Canis lupus familiaris: one gene and its partners. The protein of the gene in region 1 purifies or fractionates together with the protein of each later gene. This does not show direct contact. Links are inferred from orthologs where the notes say so. Each region holds a gene or a part of one and is shown in the gene's direction. Other genes may lie near its edges.

What was found.
Region 2: the proteins of USP11 (region 1) and EIF4B purify together in Homo sapiens (affinity purification with western blotting; 3 studies listed by BioGRID, with this or other methods). This does not show direct contact. The link is inferred for Canis lupus familiaris from reciprocal best matches to the Homo sapiens genes USP11 and EIF4B.
Region 3: the proteins of USP11 (region 1) and TCEAL4 purify together in Homo sapiens (affinity purification with mass spectrometry; 3 studies listed by BioGRID, with this or other methods). This does not show direct contact. The link is inferred for Canis lupus familiaris from reciprocal best matches to the Homo sapiens genes USP11 and TCEAL4.
Region 4: the proteins of USP11 (region 1) and CDKN1A purify together in Homo sapiens (affinity purification with western blotting; 4 studies listed by BioGRID, with this or other methods). This does not show direct contact. The link is inferred for Canis lupus familiaris from reciprocal best matches to the Homo sapiens genes USP11 and CDKN1A.

What each region holds. Positions count from the first base shown.
Region 1 is NC_049260.1:41,025,899-41,033,212, forward strand, and holds the start of USP11 (ubiquitin carboxyl-terminal hydrolase 11), read left to right. Parts: upstream 1-3,420; 5' UTR 3,421-3,737; intron 3,738-7,314.
Region 2 is NC_049248.1:44,497,150-44,504,425, forward strand, and holds the start of EIF4B (eukaryotic translation initiation factor 4B), read left to right. Parts: upstream 1-3,509; 5' UTR 3,510-3,647; coding exon 3,648-3,660; intron 3,661-7,276. UniProt on the Homo sapiens protein: Required for the binding of mRNA to ribosomes. Functions in close association with EIF4-F and EIF4-A. Binds near the 5'-terminal cap of mRNA in presence of EIF-4F and ATP.
Region 3 is NC_049260.1:77,556,549-77,563,924, forward strand, and holds TCEAL4 (transcription elongation factor A protein-like 4), read left to right. Parts: upstream 1-3,553; 5' UTR 3,554-3,703; exon of another isoform or gene 3,704-3,704; coding exon of another isoform or gene 3,705-3,739; exon of another isoform or gene 3,740-3,757; intron 3,758-3,933; coding exon of another isoform or gene 3,934-4,534; exon of another isoform or gene 4,535-4,577; intron 4,578-4,695; 5' UTR 4,696-4,722; coding exon 4,723-5,676; 3' UTR 5,677-5,846; downstream 5,847-7,376. Other genes in the region: uncharacterized protein LOC111094751, read right to left, coding at 3,705-3,739, 3,934-4,534. UniProt on the Homo sapiens protein: May be involved in transcriptional regulation.
Region 4 is NC_049233.1:5,925,406-5,932,845, forward strand, and holds the start of CDKN1A (cyclin-dependent kinase inhibitor 1), read left to right. Parts: upstream 1-2,823; 5' UTR 2,824-2,943; intron 2,944-7,440. UniProt on the Homo sapiens protein: Plays an important role in controlling cell cycle progression and DNA damage-induced G2 arrest. Involved in p53/TP53 mediated inhibition of cellular proliferation in response to DNA damage.

The sequences.
Region 1 (7,314 bases):
TTCTAGGACCTTGGAGAATTCATACCTGGCCCCCGACATCTAGGAGAGCACTGAGATGGGCCAGGGACATGGCATGACTGAAAGCCATCTGAGGGGTTGCACACACAATAGTGGAACATTTTTGTTGAAGCAGGTAGGGCAGGCTGAAAAGAGGATGAGCTAAGAATCCAGGAGAAGAGTGAGATTTACCCAAGAATATGAGAATGCCAGATAGTGTGGGGACAGGTGTATGTAGAGGGACTGTGAGAGACACTTGGAAGACTCCGTTAAACCAAGAGGTGAGGCAGGGAGGACCAGTATGACCACACATCAGAACTGGACACCATGAGGCAGGCCAGGTGGAGAGAGAGTATGAGAGGAAGGATAGATTTTTGGACCACTGAGTAGGTAGGGGAATCATAATGGATCAAATTCAGGAATGGAGCCACTGATGGATGGAACTGGAAGTTTGGATTATTGGTGTCCAGGGAGTAACAGAAATCCTGAGAAGGATGCAGCGGCTTGTGAGAGGCCAAATAGCACAGCCTAGAACTTGGACTCAAGTGTGAGGATAATGGGGGCTTTGATTACCTTTGTCCTGGGAGTTCTGGCCTCTGTCCCAACATCTGGGCAAAGCCAAGGACAGCTTTTCAAACAGAAGAGGTGGGGGTGGGCAGGGCCAGGCAAATACTGCAGGTAATAAACCTAAGGCTGGTTACTGAAGTCCAGGGGTGGTGGCCCAAGAACTTCTAATCATTCCACTGTGCCCCTGTAAACATTTTGGTGATCTCTCGGTTTGCAGCCTTATGGTTGCATGACAGCTGCCATGTTCCCAGAGATGGGGAAGCAAGCGAGGAAAACCGGACACCCTATTTCCTTGTAATAGGGCTGAACCTTCCACAAACTTCTTAGCAGACTTCTCGAGCCATTCTATGGCTAGAATAAGATGATATGGCCACCTCTGGCAGCAAGGGATGCTGGGAAAATGAGGACCCTGCAAAGGGAGACAGGATTGCCAAACCAAACTTAGAAAGGCTGGAATTTACACATCTGCTCTGGGAAGTGGTAGGGTCATTGCTGTGTGCAGAGGTTGGCCTTTGGAAGGTGAGGAAACCAAACAGTCTAGGCCTGGGAAGGGAGGCCTCTTGAATTGTAGGAAGGACCGGCTATCCAATAAATGGGGAGGGAGAGTCTGCAGAGGGGCAATGAGGAAAGGCAATTCAGAGGACCTGACCAGATTAAGCTGGGCTTCAAAAGCAGCTACTTGCCATGTGCCAGACCAAATTCCATGCCATTATAGAGAACCCTGGATGAAAGGGTTGTTCTCTTTCCCTCCCCAGAATTTACACAACTGAGTTGTAACCCCACGGCTGTTCAGGTCTGGGCCAGGGGCTGGAATCACAGTAATAAAGACAATCCCTGCCCTGTAGAGGTTAACTGAAAAGAGTTATGGTATCTAGTGGATGGGTGGGATTTGAAATTGTTCAGGGAGAGGTGAGGGTATTCTGGACACTCCAGGCCCAGGGAGCTGTGTGCACCAGCCTAGAGGTATAGGAAGGCAAGCTGTGTGGTCTTGCTTGTGGGAATGGGTCACTGAACCAGAGCCAGAATAAGTCACTGAACCAGAGCCAGAATCATGAGCCCATCTTGGGGGAGTATGTGAGACGGTCAGGTGGGGCAGCCAACACAGGTAGATAAAGAGAGCCAGAGTGTGAAATGCTAAAGTTATCAACAAGAGGTAGGGCTAGAAGCCTCAGCAGAAAAGGATGGCAGAGCCTAGTGAAGTGGTTCTCAACCAGAGATCTCCACCCCCAGGGAACACTGGCAACGTCTAGAGACACTTTTGGTGATGAGACAATTAGGGGATGATACTGCTATCCAGTGGGTAAAGGGCAGGGATGCAACTAAATATCCTACAATGCTTCCCACAACAGAAATGTCAATAGATCTTGATTGAGAACTCCTGGCCTGGGGCAATGGTTCTAAACTTTTTGGTCATGATCTCTTTAATAGTCTTAAAAATTGAGGACATCTAAAGAGCTTTTGCTTATGTAGCCTCTCAGAATATTCCATCACACACGCAAGACAGCTTGACAATGAAAAAGTATTGTGAAAATAGTTTTGACTTTGTGAATCCTCCTGAGAAGGTCTCCTGAACCAGTAGGAAGCCTAAAACCACAGTTTGGCCTTGTGCTTAAGGTCACAGCTCTGAGTTCGAACCACAGCTCGGTGTTTTTTACTAGCTGGGGCAAAATGAATGTTTCTGGTCCTCACTTTGCCCCTTTGATGTCCGTAGGGGACGGTGATGTTCATCTGTTGCCTAAGGCTACCTTTTACGTGCAATAAAGCATTTAAACAGGGCCAACTATTATTAGTTATCATTGCTATAATGCCAACAAATACACTGGGCCTGAAGCTGACTTGCCTTCAACACGTTTGTCAGGAAAATAAATCTAGTTCAGGCAGGGAAGCAGCCCGTAGGCTTGGGTGGTGACCTTTTTTGTATTAGGTTCTGATGGACAAGAGCAGCGCAGTGAATAGGGCATTCTGGTCAGGCTAACAAAAACTCTCAGGGTAGGGGCCGTGGTTCCCAGCAAAGCATGGGACCGAGAAAGCGCGGAACCTTCGTGTCCCTGAGCACTCCCCAAAATGTCCTCGTCCATAACGGGACCTCAGCCTCCACCTTTCCACACCACCTTTTGCCCTGACTCAACATGGCTTTAAAATCCTACAAGGCACCTTTGTCTTCCTTAGTCCCTAACTGGAGGTTTTGCCCCGCCCATTGGCCGCAGGGATCACCGCCCACAGTCCCACGCCCGCCTAGCCGGTCCACGCGTGCGAGCGTGGGGTCCCTTTCCAAGATGGCAGTAGCCCCCTGGCTGTTTGGGGGGCTCTGTTTCCGTTTCCGGGACCAGAATCCGGAAGTGGCCGTTGAGGGGCCTCTTCCTATCTCCAGCTGCGGTGGCTGTGAGAGGAGGGCGAACGGTGATGGCGGCGGTCGCAGCGAATGTGGCGGCTGCGGCTGAAGACCGAGAGCCGCAGCGCGAAGCGGTGCCGGGCCTGGAGAGCCAGTGGCGCCAAATCGAGAACAGCGAGAGTGGGCGAGAGCGTCCACTGCGTGCGGGCGAAAGCTGGTGAGACAGGGCTGCGAACGGATCCTCGGCTGGGGGAACGTGGAGGCTGAGGTCCGAAGAATTGCTGTGGGGGTGGGGGAGTGGCCTGTGAGACTGAGGACGGGAGGGGCGGGGAAGTGCCTGTGAGTGGATCACCTTGTCTGGGGAAAAAGGCGGGGCCTGTATGGTGGTGCCCCAGGCCTGAGAACTGGAGGTTTGTTTTGGAGAGGCGAGGGGGTGGGGCCGGGAGTGCGTGATGGAACTCGCAACCTGGGAAGGGGCGGTGCCCGAGGCCGAGGGGCGTGGTCTGCGTGGCGTTGAGTAGCATCTGGCGGCGGGGCGGCCTGCGGTTTCTCCGCGCCTGAGAGCTAGGCGGGGATGACGTCAGGCAGAAGAGCGGAATCCGAGCCGTGGGGCTGTGGGCGGAGGGAAGGAGTCGGAGCCTGCGTGGTGGAGGGAGCTGGCGCCTGGGAACGAGGCTTGTGACGGACGCTGAGGGGCGTGTCCTGAGGCCAAGGAAAGACTGCAGAGGGGAGGTAGTGCCTGTGAAGCAGAAAATGGCGCCTGCGAATGAGCAAAGTTTGTGACGCGGCGAGGTTTTTGCCTCTGGCCGAGGCCTTCTTCCCAGGACGGGAGAAAGTGCAGGTGATTGGCACGGGAGGGGCCTTCGCTATTACATTTGTTTTGTGTTTTAGTACTGCTTCGTTTTTGTAATCAGGAGAAATAGTTATTTTAAAAAATGTCAGTGCGTGTCTTGATAAATTGGCTTGTTTTACTGATTTCTTGGCTAACCAGTACTTGAAATACACTGTTTCTGGGTTTATTTTATTTCTCGCCAAGTTGCATCTCATTTTTTAAATTGTGATATACGTAAGACCTAAAAAGATTGCATAAAACGTTTACGTAGCCCAGATTGATGGACATTCTGTAAAAATAAACGGCCTGTGCTTTTCAAAAATTTCAAGGTCGTGAAAGACAAAGGATGAAGAACTGTTCCAGATTGAAGGAATTAATGGGATTTAAAGAATCATAACTAAATGCAATGTGTGATCCTGCATTGGATCCCGGAGCAGAAAAATAAATTATTTAAAAATCAGGATTTTTCTCATAAGATTGATTTCTCTTTTTTTATTGTAAAAGATGTTAATGGGAAAATTGATGAAATTTGACTGAGGCTTGTAGATTAGATATTAGTAGTGATAATTTCTTGCTTTGGATAATTGTGGTTATGAAAGAGAATTTTTTTAAGGGAATACATGCTGAAATTTTTCGGATAAAGAACCATTGTGTAAGCCGCTTACTCGCAAATGGTCGGGAAAAAATAGCGTATGTAAAGATGTATTTAAAGAAACGATGAGGCAAATGGCTAAAATGTTAAATTTGGGAAATGTGGATGAAGGGTATACGGGAATTCTTTATATTATCTTTGCAATTTTTTTCTGAGTCTATTTCAAAGTAAATAAAAGAATAATAAAAATTTGTGAATTCACCATTCAGGTTAAGATTTCAGACCGTTAGCTTAAGAAATCTCCTCCCTGATGGAAATCCCTCTCCCTGCGCCACTATTATTCTGAAGTTTTCAATTTGTTAACATTTTTCCGCTTTTGTATGCATCCCTAAATAGTATTTGTGGAAAAAAAAATAGTATTTGTGGTCTAAGCTTTCATTTCATGGAGGATATATGTGAAATCCTATGCCTAGAGGCGTACCGTGTGCCCTTTGCATCATATCAGGTGGTATACGGTATCCACATTACGTCATTGGTGACGTTAACCTTGAACATTTGGTGAAGATGGTATCTGCCCTGTTTCTCCACTATAAAGGTAGTATTTTTCTCTTTCCGTATGCGGTAATTCTTTTAAAAACATATTATAGCCATTCATTCCTCAAAACGTTTTAACAGCGTCCCATCGTGCAGTGTAAATGCTAAAATTCTTACAACGACTAGCAAGTCTGGTCCCCCTGCTCTGATTACCACTGCCCACCCCCCCAACTCTCTCCATCCAGCCATATTGGACTCCTGTTCCTCAGACACCGCAGGCATGCTCTCACCTGAGGGCTGTTCTGAGTGAGTTTTGCTTATTTTAGAGTTCTCTAATCACAATGTGTTACTCTCCCTGTTACTGGAGAGTTCAGAGACAAATTGAAATTCCCCAAATAGAGAATACGAAATCTTTTTTTTTCTTTTTTAACTGTTGTGCTGTAGCTCTCGGGCAAGGAAAAGCCTCATTCCACCCTGTTGAAAATAAACAATAACTGGATCATCTTTTATAGTTTATTTGGATGTGTTCAAACAGGGTTGGGGGCTTTGGTTCCTGATGCATCATGCCTTTACAGCCTCCTTGTGACAGTACCCTTTAGTTACCCCACCGGTATGGATTTCCTTTTTTGGGTGTTGAAAATGTGTTGGAACTAGATAGAAGTCACGGTTGCACAACATTGTGAATGTACTAAATGCCACCAAACTGTTCACTTGAAAATGGCTAATTTTATGTGAATTTTTAAAATTATGTTCTGTCAAATGAGTGAAAATATCAGTGAGGATGACAAAACATGAGAGACACCTAACTCTGGGAAATGAACAAGGGGTAGTGGAAGGGGAAGTGGGCGGGGGGTTGGGGTGACTGGGTGATGGGCACTGAGGGGGACACTTGGCGGGATGAGCACTGGGTGTTATGCTATATGTTGGCAGATTGAACTCCAATAAAATAAATAAACAAATAGAATTATGTTCTGTCAATAAAAAAAATTACCCCACCAATGTTGGTTCAGTATTAAAGCCAGTTTATCTCTGCTATTGTAGCTGATACCATGAAGCATTTTTCCATAGCTCCATTTTTTAAATGCTTATCTACTTAGGTGAGAGCAAAGCATCTCAAGGTTCTTTAATTTGTTGTTCATTTGATAGAGGTTTGCTGCAGTGGTCAGGAAATTTGTGTTTACAAAGTCACAGACTAATAATCCTCAAATCATATCTAATACCAATATTAATATTTTACACCTTCTTTTCGTCAGCTGGCAGATCTGGGCAAGGGGAAGTAATTTGAACTGATTTAAATCTCTAGGAGAAGCTTATATTTTAAGAGTAAATTAATATCTGTGATAGTATAGCTTCCTTGGCAAATTCCAGTTTTTGAGGATGAACCATCTACAAACATAATTAAATCTGAACTGATTTAAATCTCTAGGAGAAGCTTATATTTTAAGAGTAAATTAGTATCTATGATAGTATAGCTTCCTTGGCAAATTCCAGTTTTTGAGGATGAACCATCTACAAACATAATTAAATCAGGGAGAGGAAAGGGAGTCTCTAGATGGTTTGTGCAGGGTGTGGGTAGTTTTCTAACAGGTAAGCAGCAGGCAAGAGATTCTTTGTTCAGGTAAAAGAAGGAGTGTGGCTGGGTTCAGTGTTGCAGAGTGGATAGTGATGTGTGAAGGGAAAGTGACAGTGTTCCATTAGAGGTGAAGGACTAGCCTTAGAAATGTTGAGCCTTTTCTGTCAGTGGAGAAGTCTGTACAACATGGAGGACCATTTTAAGTGTAACGAAGATGCTAGAACTAAATCAACAGTTTTCACTTCTTTGGTGATTGCTGCGTAGCTCTTAAACAAGGTGGCTATCCCTTGATTTCTGGATATAATGAAAGACTGAAATAAACAAAGACTGGCAATTCCCTTGTCATTGAGTTGGTCCCCCTAGTGCTTGTTCAGACTTTTCATGAACTGGGGGGAGAGAATTTATGAGTTTAGAGTCCTGGAGTGGGAAATCTTTTGGTAGACAGTAAATGTACCAGTCTTTGTTGCTTGAACAGGAGTATGCTTTTTAGCTTGAAAAATAGGCAATTATTGAAAGATATTTGTGTATCTAATTATAATTAATATAATTAAGCTAGGAAGATAAATTTGCTTTTTGATTTGTCATTTTTAAAAAACATTGTTTGTTAAAGAGTACATTATGAACACTGAGTAACGTATATAGAATTATTGAATCACTATATTGTGCACATGAAACTGAGTTAACTATACTAGAATTAAAATTAAAAACTTAATAAAATTGAAAGAAAATACTAAGTTTGGAAAATAAAAGAGCTTTTATAAAAGTTTTAAGTTCATTGAAATTTGGAGAATTTTAATTAAACTTAATTATGCCTATTGCCATTCCTTTTATAGGTCAAAGGAGCAAATCTTTGTGTTATCTCTCAAACATAGTTTAGCCATAAAAGA
Region 2 (7,276 bases), on another chromosome or scaffold:
ATGGATTGAGGCAGGGGAAGTCTATAGGCAGGAAAACTATAGGTTAGGAACTAGTATAATGGACAGGGTGAAAAATGACAGGGGAAATAATAGGAGCACGGAAAAGAAATTATCAAAATGAGACACTGCAAATGTCAAGACTTGGCAAATGATTTTTTTTTAAGTATTCTTGTTTTTAAGATTTTATGTATTTGAGAGTAAGAGAGATAGTGAGAGACAGCACAAGTGAGGGAGGGGAGAGGGAGAAGCAGCACCCCTACTGAGCACAGAGCCCGAGGTGGGGCTCCATCCCAGGACCCTGCGAACCATCACCTGAGCAGAAGGCAGACACTTTACTGAGCCACCCAGGGGCCATCTCCACCTCCCTTCCCCCAACCCCACTGCTGGGAAGTGATTTTTGATAACCACTTTCTGACCCACAAAAACTGAGATAAGAAATGTTTACTATTTTATGCCAGTAAGTTTTAGAGTAGTTCATTACATGACAATGGGTAATTAACACAGTTTATTCCTTCTGGATTTCTTCAGAACAAATGACACAAAGTGGTTACCATGGACTTATTTTGTGATTTTAACAGTTTTACTTATTTTTAAGATGTCTTTGGGAAACTGGAAATAACATGGACCTGATAGCTCTGCCACTTGCTGGCCATGTGCACTTGGGTTAGGTTACTTATTGTTTCTGAGCTTCGGAGTCATTATCTAAAAATAGGATTATTTACCTTAGAGGGCCATTGTGAGAATGCAATAAGCTAGTTTGTTAAGTGTTTGATATAACTCCTGGGATGTATTAGGTGCTTGGTCACTATAAGTCTCTCCCTAACCCACATGACCCTGCCTCATCTAGCTTTTCTGTGAACTTTCTAAAATCTACTGTCCCCAAAGGCCAATGCTTTTTTTCTTAATTTTCAAGTAACATTGCCTTTTAATGATCCAAACCGGAAGAAATACAGAGTAAGCCTTTCCCTAGTCCTATTAGATTGGAATCTAACTTTTAACAAATTCCCAGATGATAAGTAAATTCATCGAAATATGACAAGTACTGGACTAACCTAATATGACCAAAAAAGAGCCTATACACTTCTCTGAACCTGCCTCACCCCAGGCTTTGCCATGTAAGTAAATGGGATCATCCAGGTGTTAATGCCAAAAACACGGAGTCTTCTTTGATAGCTCCCTCTCCTGTTCCCCTCTCATCTAATCAAGCAGCAAGTCTAATTCCAAAATATATCTGCATCTGTCTCCTTCCATCCCTACACTCACACCTAAGCCACCATCTTCTCTCACCAGGACTACAGGAGCCAGGTCAACTTATCCGGGTATAGAAGGTGCAGTAGCTGAGCTCCACCATAATTTTAGGGACTCTCAAAAACATTTTAGTTTAAAATCATAATAAAAAGCAGGGATCCCTGGGTGGCTCAGCGGTTGAGCATCTGCCTTCAGCTCAGGGTGTGATCCCTGGGTCCCGGAATCGAGTTCCGCGTCGGGCTCCCTGCATGGAGCCTGCTTCTCCCTCTGCCTGTGTCTCTGCCCCTCTCTCTCTCTCTGTGTCTCCCATGAATCAATAAATAAAATACTTTTTAAAAACTATAATAAAACAGGGCAGCCCGGGTGGCTCAGCGATTTGGTGCCACCTTTGGCTTGGGGCGTGGTCCTAGAGTCCCGGGATGGAGTCCCGCGTCAGGCTCCCTGCATGGAGCCTGCTTGTCCCTCTGTCTCTCTCTCTGTGTCTCTCATGAATAAATAAATAAAATCTAAAAAAAAAAAAAAAAACTATAATAAAACAAAGGTTTAGGTCAAAACATGTCTTCATGTATAACATTAATATATTGGCCAGAAATCATAAAGTATAATTCTATAGTTAATTGTGAATTTTTACGTATACACCGATGTAACCACCTTCCACATCAAGATACTAAGTCATCCTTTTCAAAATTTTATTTCAAGTCATGACATTAAATCGTGTAACTTTACTGCATAAAATTGCATGAAATCCTTCCATGCTTTCCCACCCCCCTTGGAATAAAATCCAGGGACCCCCTAGGTGGCTCAGTGGTTGAGCATCTGCCTTTGGTTCAGGGTGTGATCCCAAGGTCCCGAGTTCGAGTCCCACATCGAGCTCCCTGCATGGAGCCTGCTTCTCCCTCTGCCTGTGTCTCTGCCTCTCTCTCTCTCTGATGAATAAATAAATAAAGTCTTAAAAAAAAAAAAAAAAAGGAATAAAATCCCAACTCCGAAACCTGGTTTACAAAGCCTCACGTGACCCAACTCCCCACTGCCTCTCACTGGGCCTTGCATCACTCTTCCCCTTCCCTCAGCATCCCCCAGCTACCAGGCCTTAAATGCCTCGACTGGTCCAGGAAGCTCCTACCCTGGAGCGTATGACCTGCCTGCATCCTCTGCCTTCTTCTAAAGCTCTTCCTAGGGATGTGCAGGAGGCCACTGGCGATCTGTAACCCGGATCTCTTTATTTTTTCTTTTTTTAAGATTTTATTGATCTATTCATGAGCGACAGAGAGAGAGAGAGGCAGAGACACAGGCAGAAGGAGAAGCAGGCTCCATGCAGGGAGCCCAACGTGGGACTCGATGCCGGGTCTCCAGGGTCACACCCTGGGCCGAAGGCAGGTGCTAAACCGCTGCGCCACGCAGGGATCCCTACCGGGATCTGTTTAAACGTCACCTCCCCAGAGGCCTTCCCTAGCCGGGCCATCTAAAGTCGCACCCAATCATCTGTGAATCCAAGCACCTTGAAATCACCTGCAAAGTGTTCATCCTTCCTCAACATTCATTCACAGCTTCCCGTCTGTCCTTCCTTCACTTGGACTAGAACGCCCTTCGCAGTTGTGTTTTCCGTCGAATCGAGAAATGCCAAGAATCGTGCCTGACACGTGGCAGGTGCTCCACGAACGCTTCCCTGGAATGACATCCTAATACGGGACACGATAACCTAGAATAAAACGCAGCGTTAGCTGGAGGAGGCAAGGATGCCACTGGGCTGTGAAATCCTAAGGGCCTGCATGTGGATGAACGCAGCTCAAAAAATGAAGGGCTACGTAGGTCAAAGCCCATGGCAATCAACTTGCTCGGTATTTGCTCCTTATTCCTTCTTTTTTTTTTTTTTTCCCTCCATCCTTACGCAAGACACCGGGTTTGTTTCGCTTCGACAAAAAGCAATCAAAAAAAAAAAAAAAAAAAAAAAAAACGTTCAGTAACTTAGCCACATCCGTCTCCACACGTGGAAACACCAAAAGTAAAGAAACTCAGCATCTTCCCTTTCCCTCCAAAGCCAATCGCAGCGCAGCATCCCGCGGCCCGGGCCGTCCAGGTCCCGCCCGCCTGGCCCCGCCCCTTCCGCTTACCCACCGCCCGGAAGTCCGCCGGGCCTGGGACCCGCCCCCTCGCCCGCGCGGAGCCCTGCGTAAAGCGAGAGGGACTTCGCGACAGCCCAGGCCCCACCCCTTTGGCCACATGTCGCGCAGGCCTTCCCGTCGGACGCCGCGCCGCCTCCTCGCGCTGCTTTACGAACCCAGAGCGGCGCCGCCCCGCCCCCTCCCCCTCCCAGCTTCGCCTCTCCTAGCCCGACGCTCCCGCTATAATCACGTGATCGCCTCATCCGGGTCCTTTGCGTTCTCTCTCCCTCTCCCAACATGGCGGCCTCAGGTGAGTGAGCGGCCGAGCGCGGCCGAGGACCAGGCTCGTTCGCCGCCCTCCGAGCCTGATCCGCGGGCTCCCCGGAATCGGGGGACGGGCGGCAGCGCTCTCCTTCGGACTGCGGGGCTGCGGCGGGCTGGCGGCTCGGCCACGTGAGGTTATCGCCTCGGGATGTCGGGGGGGAGGGGACGGCGTCCTTCCCCTCCCCCTCACACCCTTTTCACCCCGTCAGCGCGAGGTTGGAGCGGGGAGGAACGCCGGCCTCCGGCTTGGGCCCGAGCGACGGGGCGCGGGGAGGAGGCTCTGCGGGAGGCGGGGGCCTCCTCGTGGGCGGTTGGCGCGCGGGCGGGCGCACGGCGGGCGACGTGTGCGAGGCGCGAGGCCGCGGCGGGCGGGGTGGGGGTGGGGTGGGGGCGGGGGGGCGGTTAGAACGCGGCGGGGAGGGCGCGGCGCGCGTGCGCGGTAGGCCGGGCGAGGGGCGCGGGCCTGGGGCGCGGCGGGGGCGCGGCGGGGCCGGGGGCGCGGCGGGGGCGCGGGCCTTGCTCTGCCTCCCGCCTGCCCTTGCGCTCGCTGCGCTCCTGTCGCCCGGTGCGGCCCGCTGCCCGCTGCTCCCCGAGGGTGGACGTCGCGGGGGTGGGGGTGGGGAGCCCGGTGCGGTGCGCCCACGTGTCGGAGCAGCGCGAGCGAGGATGGAGACCCAGATGGTCTGGAGGCCTTTTTTTTTTTTTCTTTTTCTTTTTCTTTTTCCCTCCTCCTTAATCAGTACGCCTTTACTGATCAGAAAGCAAGCCAGGCATGTTCTAGGTGCCGGGGAGGGACCACACACACACACACACAAAAAGGAGGGGGGGTGAACAAGATCAGATCCCTTGACAGCTTCCATTTTTGGTATATTTTGATAGGTCCGATAGTAGAAGTCAGCTTTTCTTTCTCTTTTCTTTCTTTTTTCTTTTTTCTTTTTTTTTTTTTTAACTACTGGGGAGTGCTTTTAAAATATTAGTGGATACAGTTGGGGTTTTTTTGTTTTGTTTTTTTGTTTGTTTATTTTAGAGGACTTTGGAGTAGGGAGTATCAGTCAGTGTCCTGCAAGTCTGCATTTCTCAAGGACTTGGCGATGGGTTTTGGGATATTTTCAGCATTCGCTTTAGTTTGGGGGATGATAATTTATTTCTCTGGCATGATCATGGGTTCTGCAAAACATTGCTTGCTATCCCTAAGATACTCATTTCTCATTAGAAATGGATTTTCTGGGGATTCCCCGGGTGGCTCAGTGGTTGAGCGTCACCTTTGGCCCCAGGGCGTGACCCCGGGTTGCTGGATCGAGTCCCACATCGGGGTCCCTGCATGGAGCCTGCTCCTCCCTCTGCGTGTGTCTCTGCCCCTTTCTCTCTCTCTCTCATGAATAAATAATTTTTTTTAATTGATTTTCTTTGTCAACCTAGGACACTAAGAATTAGGTATGTTTTTGGAAAATGTTGAGGGAATTGAGGTGCGCTTGAATATTATAATACTTTTCATTTGTGTAGCACCTGACAGTTGACCAGGCACTCTTGTGTATGTATGTTCTCATTTGATCCTCTGTTAGATAACGTGGGCAGATGGTGGTATCTCCAGCAGAGAAAGATTAAATTGTTCAAGGTCACATGGCTGCAGGTAGCAGAGCAAGGTCAAAATCTTGGAGACTCCTGACTGTCCTCCATTATCAACTTGGAAATTACAAAGTTGGCTTCCATGTGATCGTATTTTGGGGATCTACCCAAAAACTTTATCTGAATTAGAGTACTTATTTGGCCTGGATTTGCCATCTTGACGGCTTGGTGCCATAATTTAGTGAAAAGCCCATAATTCGTTTTTCACTAAAACGTGGCTTTTTTAGGGGTGGAAGACACGTTGGCAGTCTGTGCCCTGCATTTTACAGAACTGAGCGAAATCTAGACTAAAGGGATTTGCTTGGTGTCCACTTCTGTTCTTCCACGTTTACCCCCTTTTTGAGCCCCTCATCTCTTTACTTGGGTTCCATAAATCTTCTTAGCTTTGTAGTATGTGTAAGAAACAGTATCTTGAGTACGAGGTTACATCTGACAGTCTGCCCTTGGGGAATTTGGTATTTATCAGACTTTTCCCACTTTGCATCCTTTCCAGTCTCATTGGTTTTGTTGAGCGGCCAATATTACCAGATACAGCCATGTTAATGAGACTAAAATTCTTGGTGTATTTTCAATATACTTCTTGATGATGCTCAATGTCTTGTTGAAAATATATCTTATATTTCTCAGTGAAAATACCCTTGATATGATAGAACTTCACAGGCCCCTTGTAAATGAGACCAAAAAATTCTTTGCAGCAATACCAGTATCCAGTTGACCCTTCGATTTTCAAGAACCAAAAGTGTCCCAAAACGGACTATTGAACTGCTCTCCTTACTTGAGACAAATGCTTTCAAATTGGAAATAGTGGTTGTATGCACAGAAGACAGAAGGCCTTTCACTTGTATAGCACTTGAAAATGTCATCTTGTTTAATTATTTTCACAGGGATAGAATAGTTGTTTACATACAGTGCTTTTCCTTAAAGAGTAACATAGTTTCATTATATGCTGTTCACATACAGGTTTCCCCTGCTCTCCAGGGGTAGAGCATTTTGTAAACTGGAATGGCATAAAGCAAAGAAGCGATGACCATTAGTTTTTAGGGAAATTTTTTGGAGCATTCCTGGTACCTTGGGGTGTATCTTGCTAACAAGATAAAGCACAGATGTTCACAGACAGTTCAAAGTTTTGGTAGTTTGATGTTGAGTATAATTCTGGGGGAATGAGCTTGAACGTGGCACACTGTTGAAAGTGTGTGCTGCCTGCATTATGGCTTAATAGCAAAACAAACACCTGATGCTGTTTTTTGTTTTGGTAAGAGCAAAGATTCTCTCTAGGTTTCTTTCAGTTAGGGAAAACAGGTAATGATGTAAGTCTTTCATAAAAGCAAAATGGCATAATGCAGCCTTTTGAAAAGCAAGGGCTGGGGATCCGTCCCGCATCGGGTTCCCTTCCCTGCATGGAGCCTGCTTCTCTCTCTGCCTGTGTCTCTGTGCCTCTCTCTCTCTGTCTCTCTCTGTGTCTCATGAATAAATAAATACTTAAAAAAAAAAAAGCAAGGGCTACCTATATTACTATTTTTTAATTCCATTCTCTACCATATGTTATTCTGGGAGTAGGATACCCAGATTCAGAAAGCCAAAACTAAACTGTATGAAAATTTAAATGCAGATACAAGGAGTGTCAAAGTAAAACATAGTGTTTCTATGTAGTTCTTAATATATATATGTATACTTTTAGGGGTGCCTGGGTGGCTTGGTTAAAGCATCTGACTCTTGATTTCTGCTCAGGTCTTGATCTCAGGGTCATGAGAGCACTGAGTCAGCTTGAGATCCTCTCCCTCTCCACTCCCCTCCCTACTCACTGACTCGTGCACACACTCTCTAAAATAAAAATAAAGTCTTTAAAATATATATATATCTTTTTTAAACAGCTTTTTAAGTTCAAATTTACATACCATATGTGTATGGCTTGACAGTATATCCTACCACTTTGTTCATACTAGTCTCATAGCATCTTAGAATGTATTCACTTTTTA
Region 3 (7,376 bases), about 37 Mb from region 1:
TCATGAATAAATAAAATATTTTTTTCAAAAAATCTATATAATAAAATACTTTGAAATTATCAAAATTATGACAGGTTTTTATAACAGTTTTGATTCTCATAGCATATAATTCATCCATTTAGAATGCCTAATTCAGTGGTTTTTAGTTATTCACAGAGTTGTGCCACCATCACCACTATGTATCTTAGAACTCTTTCATCACCCCAAAAGAAACTATATTCATTAGCAGTAACTACTCATTTTCCACTAACTTTCCCCAACCAAGCCCTAAGCAACTATTAATCTTTCTGTCTCTAAAAATATGCCTAGTCTAGACGTTTCATATTAATGGAATCATACCATATGTAGTCTTTTTAATTTTATTTTTTAGTGTAGAATGTCTGGGAAGTTACAATTATCTACCTATCTCCAGTATAATTAATGTACAGTGTTATATTAGTTTCAGATGTACAAGAGAGTGATTAAACAAATCTATACATTACTCAGTGCTCATCATGATAAGGTACTTTTAATCTCCTTTACCTGCCCAACCACCTACCTCCCCTCTGGTAACCATCAGTTTGTTCTATATATCTAAGGGTCTAGGGGTACCTGGGTGGCTCAGTTGGTTAAGTGTCTGCCTTCAGCTCAGGTCATGATCCCAAGGTCCTAGGGTTGAGCCCAGTGTCAGGCTCTCTTCTCAGCAGGAAAATCTGCTTCTCCCTCTCCCTCTGCCCCTGCTCCTGTGCGCTCTCTCTCTCTCTGGCATAAATAATTTTAAAATATTTTTAAAGTGCCTGTTTTTTGTCTTTTTGTCTTTTTTCATTTGCTTTGTTTCTTTTTTTATTTATTTTTCATGAGAGACACAGAGAGAGGCAAAGACATAGGCAGAGGGAGAAGCAGGTTCCCAGAGGGAAGCCCAATGTGGGACTCTGGGATCACGCCCTGAGTTGAAGGCAGACACTCAGTCACTGAGCCACCCAGGCGTCCCATTTGCTTTGTTTCTTAAATTCCACATATGAGTGAAATCATGATATTTAGTCTTTTCTGATTGGTTTCTTTTATCATTTTCTACAGTGCCTTCACCATTTGACATTTCCACCATCACTGTGTGATTGTTCCAATTTCTCTACATATTTGTCAACACCTATTATCTGTCTAAATAAATAAATTTATTTCTAAGTGTTTTATTTGTTTTGATGCTATTTTAAATGGAAACATTTTCTTACCTTCCATTTCAAATTTTTACTGCTAGCATATAGAAATGCAATTGATTCTTATATTGACCTGAACTCATTTATTAGTTCTCATAGCTCTTTAGTGGATTTTTTGGGATTTTTTATATATAAGGTCATGTCATCTGCAAATAAAGGAAGCTTTATTTCTTTCCCTTACAATCTGGATGCCTTTTATTTCATTGTACTTACTTATAAGTACTTGATTACGTCAGAAAATAAGAATCTTCATTTTTTAACTATTTAATTATACAAATATAATTTCCATAATAACCTATTTTTCACTACTGACCAGAGATGGATTCTTATCACATACTAAATACTTTTATACTTGGGTATGTTAGTGGGATCTCTGTGTTTTATTCCTCCTGCTATGCTTATTCCAATACCACATTGAGTTTAGCTTGTAGCTTTATAAATCATTCTGCTTCCTTGAAGTGTGAGTTCCTTTATCAGGTATAAATGAAATCCAAACTAGGTAAGATAAAGTAGCCAACACAGTGCCTGGCACTTAGGTGGTATTCTCTAGAGGGCAATACCACATCCTGTGGTTATCCTTTGTGTCCCACCACCCATAGTAATTGTGATTTATAAATAGTTAATAATTTTTACTTTTTTTTCTAGAGCCCAACATTTTAATTATTTTTCTTAACCAAACATCCAAGGATAACCAGGGTAAACAATGTATTAAGAAGATATGTAATGAAATCTGTACTGATGGACAATTGTGATATTCCATTTTTCCATTACATACAAAGCCTACATAATTGATACTGTATTCCCAGTTCCAGCAAAGAATAAACGCATAACAAACAGTTATTATGGGAATTTAAAAAATACAAAGCATTTTTTAAAACATAAGATTAGTTTTAGCACATTATTAATTCTCTCCATGGGTAAATATTAGAAGGAAATACTGAACCAAAATGTCATATTTAGGATCCCTGGGTGGCGCAGCGGTTTAGCGCCTGCCTTTGGCCCAGGGCGCGATCCTGGAGACCAGGGATCGAATCCCACATCGGGCTCCCGGTGCATGGAGCCTGCTTCTCCCTCTGCCTATGTCTCTGCCTCTCTCTCTCTCTCTCTCTGTGACTATCATAAATAAATAAAAATTTTAAAAAAATGTCATATTTATTTTATTTTATTTTATTTTATTTTATTTATTTTATTTTATTTTTCATATTTATTTTAAAACAATTTACCAGCTTACTTTTCAGAACATTTTTTTTACCATACCACTCAAGAGCAGGAAAGAGTGCATATGTCCCCAATCCCTTAAGAAATCGGTATGCATTTTCAGATAGATCAATGGTTTTCCTTAATTGTTCATGTCTTTGTTATCTTATTTTTAAAGGCCTTCTACACAAAAAGCTTAAGTGGAAACAGAGACTACTTATTCAGAACTTGTTATAACAAGGCAGTCAGCCACCATTACTTTTATTTGGCAGAGACTGGAAGTCTCTAGGGAGTGGAAAAACTTTAGCTCAAGCAAAAGAGAAGACTAAGTATTATTCTCGGATTGGAGATTGTTGGCATAGGGTTGCTAGAAGCAGGCTAAGAGAACATCTTATGTGATTGGTTTGGGGAGCATATGTGGATTTCTCTTGTTGAGAGGGGTTCAAAAAATAGGGAGGTTGTCAATCGTTGATCAGAGGCTGTGGTTTGGCTTCCTGAGGCTGCTTGCTGCAGAGGTTGCGGTTCTCAGTTCTATTGTCATGTACGATCAGGTCATTGTCTGTTGTATATTTAGTCTCTCACTTAGAAAAAAAATTGTTCTTTTATTCTGCTTCAAATATAATTTTAGTTTTAGATTTCAATAATTAGAAAATGTATGTGCGCATGTCAGGAAAAAGGAATAATTTCATTTTGAGGGGAACAGTTTCCTAATTTTTTTCTAAAGTGCAATATTCTGGGCACGTGGGTGGCTCTGTCGGTTGAGCCTCAGACTCTTGATTTCCCCTCAGGTCAGGATCTCAGGGTCCTGGGATGGAGCCCGGTAGGGGCTCCGAGCTCAACTGGGAGTCGCTGGATGCCCCTCCCCCTTTATTTCTCTAAAATAAAAAAATAAATCTTTAGAAAATAAAAGTGCAATATTCTATGTACGACATTAAAGTTCACATTCATACGATTTCATTGGCTGGCTCTAGTTCTTTCAATGGAAATTAAGAGCAACATGGTCAAGACTCCTCCCCCGCACCGCTCAACCCATTAAAAAAGCCTCTGAGGTTTTTATTAAATTTATTCCTTGGATCACCTCAAGAAGAGAAAAAGGTCAAAACTGCCCAGAGAGGTGCGGGGTGACCCGCAACGCCCCCCGCCCCGGCTGCTGGGCGGGGCGGCAGGGGGGAGGGGGGCGAGCTCCGGTGACGCGACGCTCACGTGACCAACCCGGCGCAGATCTGGGCACCAGTCCGGGAGCCCGCCCTCTTCCTTGCGGTCGGATCCGGAGCGGTTTGCTAGCTCTTAATTGTTGCTCCAGGTTCTTTCAGGTCAGTGTGAGGGCCTTCGTCGCTGCCTGCGGAACCCTGGAATGGGGGATGGGGGTGAGGCACGGACACGGAGAAGAAAAAGGGTGGGAATGGGGTCCGTGTTGAGAAAAGCTGGCGAGAGTGTAGGTAGAGATGGCGGTGGGAAAATGGCTAAAGGGTGAGCTAGCGACCAATCGGCGGAGGGTCGGAAGAGCGGACACCCCTAGTACCCGTGTCCCCTTTCTCCTCACCTCTTCGCTGCCCTCCGTCCATTTTGGAGCCGGAGCTGGTGAGCTTGGGGGCGCCCCGCCAGTGAGACAGTAAAAATAAACCCCCTTTCCCACTCCATGCGTAGAGAAAAAAAGTTGACCTCGAGAGTGGGGAGGCGAGTTGCCTCCGGGGAAGAAGGACACAGAGATCCAAAATTAGTTTGGAAAACATCCTGGTCTGGCGCCGGAGGCGTGAAAAGAAATGGCGGCTGGGGTGTGGGGGGCGGAGGAAGTGGGGGAGGGAAACGTTGGATGAGAAGGGCCGGGATTCTGGAAAGGGGCTCCGAGTCCCTGTGCATCCACCCGAATGCGCAGCCCCTGTGTCCTGTCTTATCTGCAGGTCTGCGTGTCTGTTCTCAGCACTCTGCAGGGCTAGAAAAGGACGAATCTGCTCAGAATTCCTGCAGGTCAGTGAAGAAAGGGGTCTCTGGGCAGGGATCCAGGGGGGGTGGGGAGTGTGGAGGGTAGAGCACCAGCAGAATATGGGGCACCACTGCCCACCTCCTAACACATTTATACACGCTGCTGTGCTGAACAAGCATAGAGAAAATGGCTGGGCTTGCCAGAGAAATGGTTGGCTCATGTGTGTGAGGGGAGAGGGTGGGCAGAAGGCACACGGAAAGGCCGGGCCAGGTCAGGGGAACCCTGATAAGGGGAAAGATGCCAGTACTATCCAGACCTGCATTCCACCCCCAAGCCCTGTTTCCTTGTCTCCTCTTTGTCTCCTCTTCCTCCCCACCCTAGGACAGGAAAAGGAGGGGAAATCTCAACATGGAAAAACTCTGCAATGAAAATGAAGGAATGACTGAGAACCAAGGAAAGATGGAATACAAAGAACAGCCACAGGATGTGGAAGAACCCGAAGTAGATTGTACTCTGGAAAACCAGGAAAAGTTAGAAAATGAGAGAAAGACAGAAGATGAGGAAATACTAAAGGATAAAGAAAAGTCAGAAAGTATGACAAAGCCAAAGGATGGAAAGCCAGCGGAGAACGAGGGAAAGCCAGCGGAGAGCGAGGGAAAGCCAGCGGAGAGCGAGGGGAAGCCAGCGGAGAGCGAGGGGAAGCCAGCGGAGAGCGAGGGGAAGCCAGCGGAGAGCGAGGGGAAGCCAGCGGAGAGCGAGGGAAAGCCAGTGGAGAGCGAGGGAAAGCCAAAAGAAGAAGGAAAACCGGTGAGTGAGGGAAAGCCAAAAGAAGAAGGAAAACCAGTGAGTGAGAGAAAGCCAAAAGAAGAAGGAAAACCAGTGAGTGAGGGAAAGCCAAAAGAAGAAGGAAAACCAGTGAGTGAGGGAAAGCCAAAAGAAGGAAAGCTAGTGAGTGAGGGAAAGCCAAAAGAAGAAAACTTAGAGAGTGAGGGAAAGCCAGTGAATGAGGAAAAGCCAAAAGAAGAAAAGCCAGCCATCGAACCAAGGGCTGCAGGAAAGCGCCCAGCTGGGGATGATGTACCCAGGAAGGCCAAAAGAAAAACCAACAAGGGGCTGGCTCAGTGCCTCAAGGAATATAAGGAGGCCATACACGATATGCATTTGAGCAATGAAGAGATGATAAGAGAATTTGATGAGATGGCCAGGGTAGAGGATGAGGTGAAGAAAACCAGACAGAAATTGGGGGGGTTTATGTGGATGCAAAAAAGTTTACAGGACCCCTTCCACCCGAGGGGCCCAAGGGAACTGAGGGGTGGGTGCAGGGCCCCACAGAGGGGCTTTGAAGACATTCCTTTTGTGTAGTGCCCTTGGCAGGCATTTGCCCTGTGCTTTAACCTTATGCTAATACTTGCTTTAGCTATCACTCTGTTATCCAACTGCAACCCTTGATGTTTCAGTAGATTTTTGTCCATTGCATGGAAAAATGTTTATGGCATATTGTAAAATTAAAAAGAAGAGTTTGATGAACCATATATATGGCATCAGTCCATTTTTGTAAAACTACGAAGGTATTTACTTAGTGATTTATGTACAGAGGAAACTGAAAGCTGTGTCCTGGTTATCTGTGGCTGATTTTTTTTTCTGTTCTTTTTTGTTCATTGTATATTTTCTCCTAAAAAACATAGATTACTTTCATTATGAAAACAATATATACCAAGCAATCAAAATAACTGTTCGTTTAGCTTATGAATACAGTGGAGACACCAAAAATCCTTGGTCAGTATATAAAATGTTTTGTAAAATTCATGTTTGAGACTGGAAGCTGGAAGACTCAACCTGGCCGTTACTACAGATCCATTGCTGTAACAGTCTTGTCATCTTATCAAATGGGATAATACTTGCCTTCCAGGGCTGTAGAGAAGATCAGATGAGGTAATACTAGGAGCTGTGTTGATCTGGCTCCAACTCTTAGCCTTGCAGTAGCAGAACCAGAACTCTGTCATATGTTTAGGGGAGCTATAAAAGACATCTCACTTGTGTCCAGGAGTAAGTCAGATAAAAAGTGGGTATCACTGTCCCCAGGGTAATGCCATGTCTCTTGGGCACTGTGCTCCTTCTCAGGGGCTCTGTACCCTCCTGAAGCCCCAGCTGCTACTGGTGGGCTGGAGACCACAATGGACTAAAGCAACGGTGTCTCAACAGAAAGATGGAGAATTCTCTACCTACAACAGTTACCCTAACTCAGGTGGGTATTACCCGATTGTCATAGAGCCTTGATATTTTATAAAGTTTTTAGAAAACATTCCTTTCCAGACTTTTTGTTGATTTGTGTGTGCTTTTGCATATAGCCATCTCCACTGGATTTAGATACTGGAGATTGAGCCAGAAAAATCTGACCAGATGCTGTGCTGTTCTCACCTGTTAATCTCTTGTCTACTGATACTTCTCTTAGGGAATTGTCTCAAGAAGTTTGTGTTAAGCCCTGCCCTACCATTTCAACAGATCCATCTATCTATGTGATCCCTGCCCCACCCCCAACTCTTCATTAGCCTTTTACTTTTAGTGTTTTTTAAATACACTTTCATTTTAGGAGTTATAGATTTACAGAATTATTGCAATAATAGTACAGAATTTCTGTATACTTCATACCCAGTATCCTCTATTCACATCTTATGTTAGTATGGTGCATTTGTTACAATGAACCAATATTGATACATCTTATTTAATGTCCTTTTTCTGTTCTAGGATCCTATACAGGTTACCACCTTACATTTAGTCATCTTGTCCATAGGCTCCTCTTGGCTGTGACAGTTTCTCAGACTTTCCTTGTTTTTGATGCCCTTGACACTTATGAGAAGTACTGGTCAGGCATTTTGTATAATGTCCCACAGTTTTGGTTTGCTTGATTTTTTTCTTGTGGTTACATAGGCATTAAATGCTTTTTGGGAAGAACACCAGGAAGGAAGTGCCATACTCACCACATCATGTAAAGGGTACATGTTACAGGGTGCATGGCTGGCATAGTAAAAAAATATTAAATTCTTGATCTCGAGGTCGTGAGT
Region 4 (7,440 bases), on another chromosome or scaffold:
TTTGCATCAGCTCTCCTGTGTGACTTCTAACAATCTGTTCTTTTGCCCCCTTCATAGCAGAAGTCCCTTGTTAAGGGCATGCCTGGGTATACACTCAAGTGTATGGTTGGAAATTTTTTTTAAGTACTGAACAGTATCAGACACTTAGTACTGTGCCTAATAAATATTTGTTGAATTCTGTTGTTGTTGTTGTGATGGTGGTGGTGGTGAGCTAAAAGTTTCATTAAAAAAAAAAAAACCCAAAAAATAAAAAAATAAAAAAACCCCACAAAACTCACTTCCCAACAACAACAAAAAGAATTATTTCATTGTGAAGTTCAGTACCACAAAATTTTAAATAATTCAACACAAGCCTCTTTAAAAAAAAATTTTTTTTCCCCAAAGTAAACAGACAGACAATGTCAAGTCTATTTGAGATGCTTGAGAGACAAAGGGATTCAAGGCAGTAGGAGGATATGCCTGTCCTCTGCTGAACATTTGACAGTGCAGCCTTTGGGTATGTGTATGTTGGGGATGGAGGGAGGTGCGGTATGAAGAAAGGAGCTAGGGAGGAGGGGATTGGTCCTGGGGTCTTGGCCTTTGTGTGGCCCCCCCCTGAGATCCAGCTGCAGTCCTGGCTTGAATCCACCATCAGGCAGGCAAGGGAGTCTGGTGCTGTGCCCTTGCACCCCTACCTGGGCTCCTATGCCAGCAGTAGAGGAGAAGACCTGTCCTCCCTGAGGTCAGCTGTGTTAGAGGAAGAAAACGGGGCATGTCTGGGCAGAGATTTCCAGACACTGAACAGTCCTAGATGTCAGTAATTGTAGCTGCTCCAAGCCTGGGATCTATTTCTTAGTGGTATTTCTGTTCAAAGTAGCATTCTATTCTTTGAAATGTATTTTTAAAGATTTAAAAATTTATTTTATTCTATTTCTTTTATTTTTTTTAACATTTTTAAATGTATTTATTCGTGAGAGGCACAGAGAGGTGGCAGAGACATAAGCAGAGGGAGAAGCAGGCTCCCTGTGGGGAGCCTGATGTGGGCCTTGATCCCAGGACCCCAGGATCTCGACCCAAGCCAAAACAGATGCGCAGCCCCTGAGCCACCCAGGCTCCCTATATTTCTTTTATTTTTTAAAAGTAAGCTCTATGCCCAACAAGGGGCTTGAAGTCAGACCCTGAAATCAAGAGTCACATTCTCTCCTGACTGAGCCAGCCAGGCACCCTCCTCTGTTCCCCGCAATTTTTTAAAAGCAAAACTACAACTATATTAAGTGAAAGAAGGAGGCAAAAAAGAAGTACAAGAGGGGCTAGTGGTGGCAAGTGGGTGGGAGGAAATGGGCACCTCGCTTGCTTTTGTACCAGCGGCAAGCACCAGTGGACATTTCCAGAATTGTCTTTCATCAATGCCACCTCAGTACACTGCCTGAAAATGAGGAGTGCTGGGGGTTTCCCTCTTTCTAGAGCCACTTAAATAGAGAGGGCAATGAGCAGAGAGCTCTGAGAGGCACTGGGCCTATGCTCCAATTATAGCTGTTTATTTGCTGTGTGACCTGAGTCAGGTCACTGAACTTCTCTGAGCCTCAGTGTTCCCAGCAGCGTAAGCGGATTGTGCGGGGGAATATCCAGGAGATAATTTGCTAACCAAGTCCTTCCCCCTTCCTAGCTATCAAATCTGTTGCAATCAGAGGTGCCTGGGTAGTTCAGTTGGTTTAGCATCTGTCTTTGCTTCATGATTTTGGGGTCTTGGTATCCAGCCTGGAGTTGGGCTCTTTGCTCAGCAGGTAGTCTGCTTCTACCTCTCTCCCTACTTCTCCCCCTTCCTCTGCTCCTGCTCTCTCTCTGTCTCATTCATAAATAAATAAATAAATAAATAAATAAATAAATAAATAAATAAATAAATAAAATCTAAAAAAAAAAAATATGTTGCGGGATCCCTGGGTGGTGCAGCGGTTTGGCGCCTGCCTTTGGCCCAGGGCGCGATCCTGGTGACCCGGGATCGAATCCCACGTCGGGCTCCCGGTGCATGGAGCCTGCTTCTCCCTCTGCCTGTGTCTCTGCCTCTCTCTCCCTGTGTGTGTGACTATCATAAATAAATAAAAAAATAAAAAAAATCTGTTGCAATCATAGAGATCTCTATTGTTGAGGTGAGAAGGAGGTGGATGTGGGCACGAGGAGGAGGGGTAGGGAGGTTGGTTCAATGTCCAATTTCCCCCATTTCCTGCTTTCCCCTGGAGACCTGGTTGACCTTTTCTGAGTATTCCCCATTCCCTCCTTCCCCGGGGGCATTGGGCGAGCAACAACTTTGCATCCGTTTAGTCCTGAGGTCCTTAATTTCTTCATCTGTGAAAGAAGGGGGATCGAATCCGGTTCTGGTCTCCAAGATGCTTTGTTGGCGTGTCTGGGTGCTTGGGAAGAGGCGGTCTAGTGAGGGGTCTGTGGGAAGACTGGCGGTATAGTGGGCTTTTCTGGAAATCGCCGAGCGAGGCACATCCTTTATGCTTTTATTTATGGAGTGTTATCTATGAATGTCACCCCTCGTGATCTTCTCGGGGCCAGAAGAAGGGCTCATCCTAAGAATGCCATCCCTTCGTGGGGAGTGCCAACTCCCAACCCAGCGAAAACAACCCCGGTCTGTGGCTCAGTTAGTGGGGAAACATGTCAAGCACAGGGACCCAGGCGCGGGGCGCGGGGCGCCGGGCGCGGGGCGCGGGGCGGGGAGGGAAGCGCCCCCCTGCAGCCCGCGGTGTAGGCGTCTGACTTCGGAGGTCTCCAGCCGCCGGCGAGTTGCGAGCTGCGGCGGCGGACGGCGGCAGAAGGGGCGGTGCCAGGCCTGGGGGCGGGGCGGCCGGTCCCTATATAAGGCGGCACCGGGCGGTGCCAGCTCGCGAGCTGCTGCGGGAGACGGTGGCTTGGAGAGCGGAGGCGGGCGCGGATTCGCGGAGCCGGAGACCCTCGGAGGAGGTGAGGGCGTTGTGGCCGGCGAGGGGGCCTGGGCCGGCGGCTCGGAGCCCGGCCGAGGTGTCCGCCTCGTGTGTGTGTGTTAGTGTCCCAGCGGGTGAGTGTGTGCGTGCGCGTGCCGTCTTCACAGGTGAATGACGTGCGTGGGTCGGCGCGTGGGGCTGGGCTCGGCTCCCACGGGTGTCTCCGGAAGGTGCGCTTGTGCCGGAGGTCGGGCTGTGTCGGAAGCCCGGGGCGGCGGGAGCGCAGCAGAGCGGGGGATCCCCTGCCGCGCCCCCCGCCCTGGAGCCAGGGGAGGCGTGGACTCGCGCGCCCCAGGCCCCCGGCGGCGCGCGGAGGGAGCCCCCGGGCGCGGAGCCCCCGGAGGGGCGGGGAACGCCGAGCCCGGCAGGTTCACCGCCCTCCGCTCCCGGCGGCTGCGATCCAATCCGCGCCGTCTCCGCCCAGACCCCTGCGGCCGGGGTCCCCGACGCCTCCGCGTCCGCCACCGGCTGGGCGCTGAGGTCAGCGCGGGCGGCGTACCCCCCCCGGTCCTTGGGAACGTGTTGGGACACATCCTTTCAGGGCAATCGAGGAGGTGACTCACGGTGACAAGGAGACCCCGGGAAATGGGACGGGTGCGGTCAGAGCCCCGCCCGGGCTGGGGGACAGTGGCGCCCCAGAAGTCGGCTTCCTCCCCGCCCCGGGTGTCTGTGCCCCGATCGGCACAGTGACTGTTTGGCTGGCACAAAGTGTTCTCAGGGAAGCCGGGACATCGGGAGGTCCAGGACTGGGTGTCCGGTCCCCGCCTCGCAGCGCGCCCTCGGGGACCCGGAGCGGTGGCCCTGCGCGGGCTGGGCTCGCTCCAGCCGGCCCGTGGGAGAAGAACAGGGGTCGGACACACCTGTCCTCCTTCGCGCCCCGCCTGCCCTGGGGTCGGGGCGCCGCATTCCGCAGCGGGAGGGGAGACCTGCGCCGCGGGGCCGCGGGGCGTGCAGCCCACGCGCGGGGCGAGGGACCCGGAGAGGTCCCATCTGGAGGCTGGTCCCACCCTGACGGCCACATCCGGGGGCTCCCGGCGCCCCTCGCCAAACTGCCCTGTCCGAGGGCGACTGCTCAGCGCGCAGCGAGAGGACGAGCCGTCCTTTGGGCGCCGCCGCCCAGCGCGGGCCACCGTGCACCCCCCCCCCCGTCGGGGGCCCTCGGGGGACACGGGCGCCCGCCTCTTGCGGAAAAGAATCTTGGAATTGGGTTTGGCGCTTTGGGGTGCCCGGGCGGCTCCCTCCCTGCCCCCCCTTCCCTGCCTCCACGTCGCGGTTCGAGGACTGTCGAGCGGTTCTGTTTTCCTTGCTTTCGTCTATTTTTATTTTCCAGGGATCTGACTCATCCCGTGCTTTGGGCGTGGAGATAAGGTGGAGGGACCAAACCTCTGCGCGCCTCTGCGTGCGGAGTGTGTGTGTGTGTGTGTGTGTGTGTGTCACGGAGGCGCGCGCGTTTTTCCAACAGTGGCGGGGCTTTCGGAAGCCTGGCTGGCTCAGCGTGACGTGTTCGCGGCCCCCGGTCCGCCCCCCGGTCCGCCCCCCGCCTCCCCTCCCCACCCGAGGGTGACGCTGCAGCCCGAGCGCACGCAGAGTTGTGGCGGGCGGGGAGCGCTCCGCAGGAAACTGACTCATCGCTGCTCGCGGCGGCGGCTCGCGGCTCTGCCCACACGCCGACCCTGCGCGTGATTTCCTGGAGACCGGCGCCCCCGTCCGGCCCCGAAGCGAGTAGCAAGCCCGCCTTCCCTTCCCGCCTCGCTGCGCCGCGGCTGAGCCTGAGCCGCAGCTGCGAACGCCCCTGAAAAAGCATGACCCGTTGGCTCATCGCGGGGTGCTCAGTGCTTACTGGTTACTTCGGAATTAAAACTGGCTGAAGTCTAAGACACGAAGGCCAACCAAGGATGCTATTCTCGGTTGTTTGTGAAATAAGGGTTTATATTTGACTTTTCTCTGAACTGGGAGTTACGATAATGGGAATGAGATCAGATTTTGATGAGGAGCCTATGAGGGCCATAGGGTGGTAGGAGAGAGGATCCTTGCCTGGATTCTGGTCCCATCTTGAGCGCCTAGAAGCCTGGGAATACTCAGCCTCCTGGTGAAAAGCCAAGGCAGGCTCCTCCTCCTTGTGCCAGTGAGGCCATCCTGTGTATCCTCTCTTGAAAGGCACCCCAAGAGTGCCCATATGGGGAACTGCCAAACACCTGCTTAAATCCCCTTTATTTTATTATTTTTTAAGATTATTTATTTATTTATTCATGAGAGACACACAGAGGAGGCAGAGACACAGGCAGAGGGAGAAGCAGGCTCCCTGCGGGAAACCGGCTGTGGGACTCTACCCTTGAACTCCGGCATCAGGCCCTGCACCGAAGGCAGATGCTCAACTGCTGAGCCAACCAGGGGCTTAAATCCCCTTTAGTTTGAGTTATTCTGGGAAGAGAGGGACCTATCAACCTGTATTTTTTAAAAAGCTCCCTAAGTGATTCTGCTGGGCCTCTGGTTAGGAACACAAAACTAGAGAGGGAGTAAGGATGAACACCAGAGCACGGAACCCAGGATAAACAGGCCTGGGTTCAAATCCTGGCTGTGCCACTTGTGAGCCATGTGACCTCGGGCAAGTTACTTTACTTCTCTGAGGTCTTAGTTACTTCTTCTGTTAAAAAAAAAAAAAGACCAATATACCCACTCTTTAGGAAAATTAATATTTATTAACTTAGAACAGCCCCTGGCACATAAAAATATATAAATAAATCCTGATGCTTGCCCTAAAGAGAGTGGGTGAAGGTTATTTGAGGGCTCCGCCCACTGTGCTGTGTAACCCCTCTATGGGGCAGTGGCCCTTGGCCTTTTTAGTTTTCTGATTTGGGGGCAAGCCTCGTATCTCTCTAAACGCTTGCCCTTTAAACTTGGTCTGAGGTCACCTAATGTGTCCTCTCTCCTATAAGCTGTGGGAGGTGGGGTGGGGAGGGGGAGCTGTGGCAAGGGTCCAGGGCTTCCTGCCCCAGGAGGTCACTCAGCAGAGCTTTCACCCTCAGAGCCTGCAAAGCAGGACTTGTCCTCGGGGGAAAAGCCAGTCCCTGCCAAGGTTGCAAAGCCGCTCAGCCCTGGAGTCAGGCCAGAGCAGGGCAGGTAGGTGCCAGCACTTCGTCATGAGCAAACTCACCCTCGGTTTTCCCTCTTCTGAAGTGAAAGGAGAGGAACCAGGTAGACCGGTCAACTCTAATTTTCTTTGCCCGCAAAACGGGTTCCTCAGATGCAGCTAACACAGGCAGAGGCTTCCAGGCTGTCTAGACTTCAGATCACCTGATGTGCCTGGCAGGATGTGGCTCAGCCTGGGAGAAATCATCACCCTGGCCTGCCCTGCCCAGCCCCTCCTCACCTCCAGGCCTCCCGCCTGATGACATCCTTGGGAAAGGCCCCCAGCACACAGCACCTGTCAGCTGCTGTCTGAAGGAGGTGGTGGTGGGGGAAGGGGGGGAAGACTCAGCCAGAACTGAACACAGAGAAATAATAACACTTCTATATACCAGCTTCTATATACCAGCTGCTTCTCTGCCTGTTACCTACGTTAACTCAGTTAATCCTCACATCTGTCCTCTGAGACATTCACTATTACTGTCTCCATTTTACAGATGAGGCAAATAGAGTTGAGAGAAGTTAAGCTATTTGTGCAGGGTCACCCAGCGGAGCCTGGATTCCAACCTAGGCAGTCCTGCTCCAGAGCCCTCACTCTTAACTACAGGATAGAGCCTCCACCTCTGTTCTATTGCCTTGCTAGAAGGGACTCCCTGACCAATTGCTTGAGCATGCTTGCACAGCCCCATTTTTTTATAGATGAGAAAATTGAGGCCCAGAGACATTAAGTGACTTTATTTTTTTAATCTTTAACATTTTTAAGTGACTTATTTTTAACAGATTTTATTTATTTATTAGAGAGAGAGAGAGTTGTGCACAAGCCGAGGAAGAGGCAGAGAGAGGGGGAGAAGCAGACTCCCTGTGGAGGAGGGAGCCCAATGCAGGGCTCCATCCCTCAGGATCATGACCTGAGCCAAAGTCAGACACTTAAACAACTGAGCCACCCAGGCACCCCTTTAAGTGACTTTAAAGTTTATGTAATACGCAGCAGAGCTAGGAATAGATCCTAGGTGGGGTTTTTTTTTTTTTTTTCTTTTTATCCCAAAACCCTGGGGGTACTTTTGAATTTCAGAACAGAATTATCCCACATGGGTATCTTGGTAGAGGGATTCAGGAGGCCAGAGTTGCTGTCAGCCTGCCCTTTCATTTGGGACCTGACCTTTTGGTCCGGGCTGGGGTTGGGAAACTACTGGACTCTGGTAATTCACACCCATGAAGGACACCTCGAGGGGGAAACTCATTGATTTTAGTTGATAATACTGGTGGTAAACAGGACTCCGATCCTGCTAATGCAATAAACTTGTCTTTGTTGACAGAACCTGTCCTTCAGCTGCCCACTCCCCCAGTGACC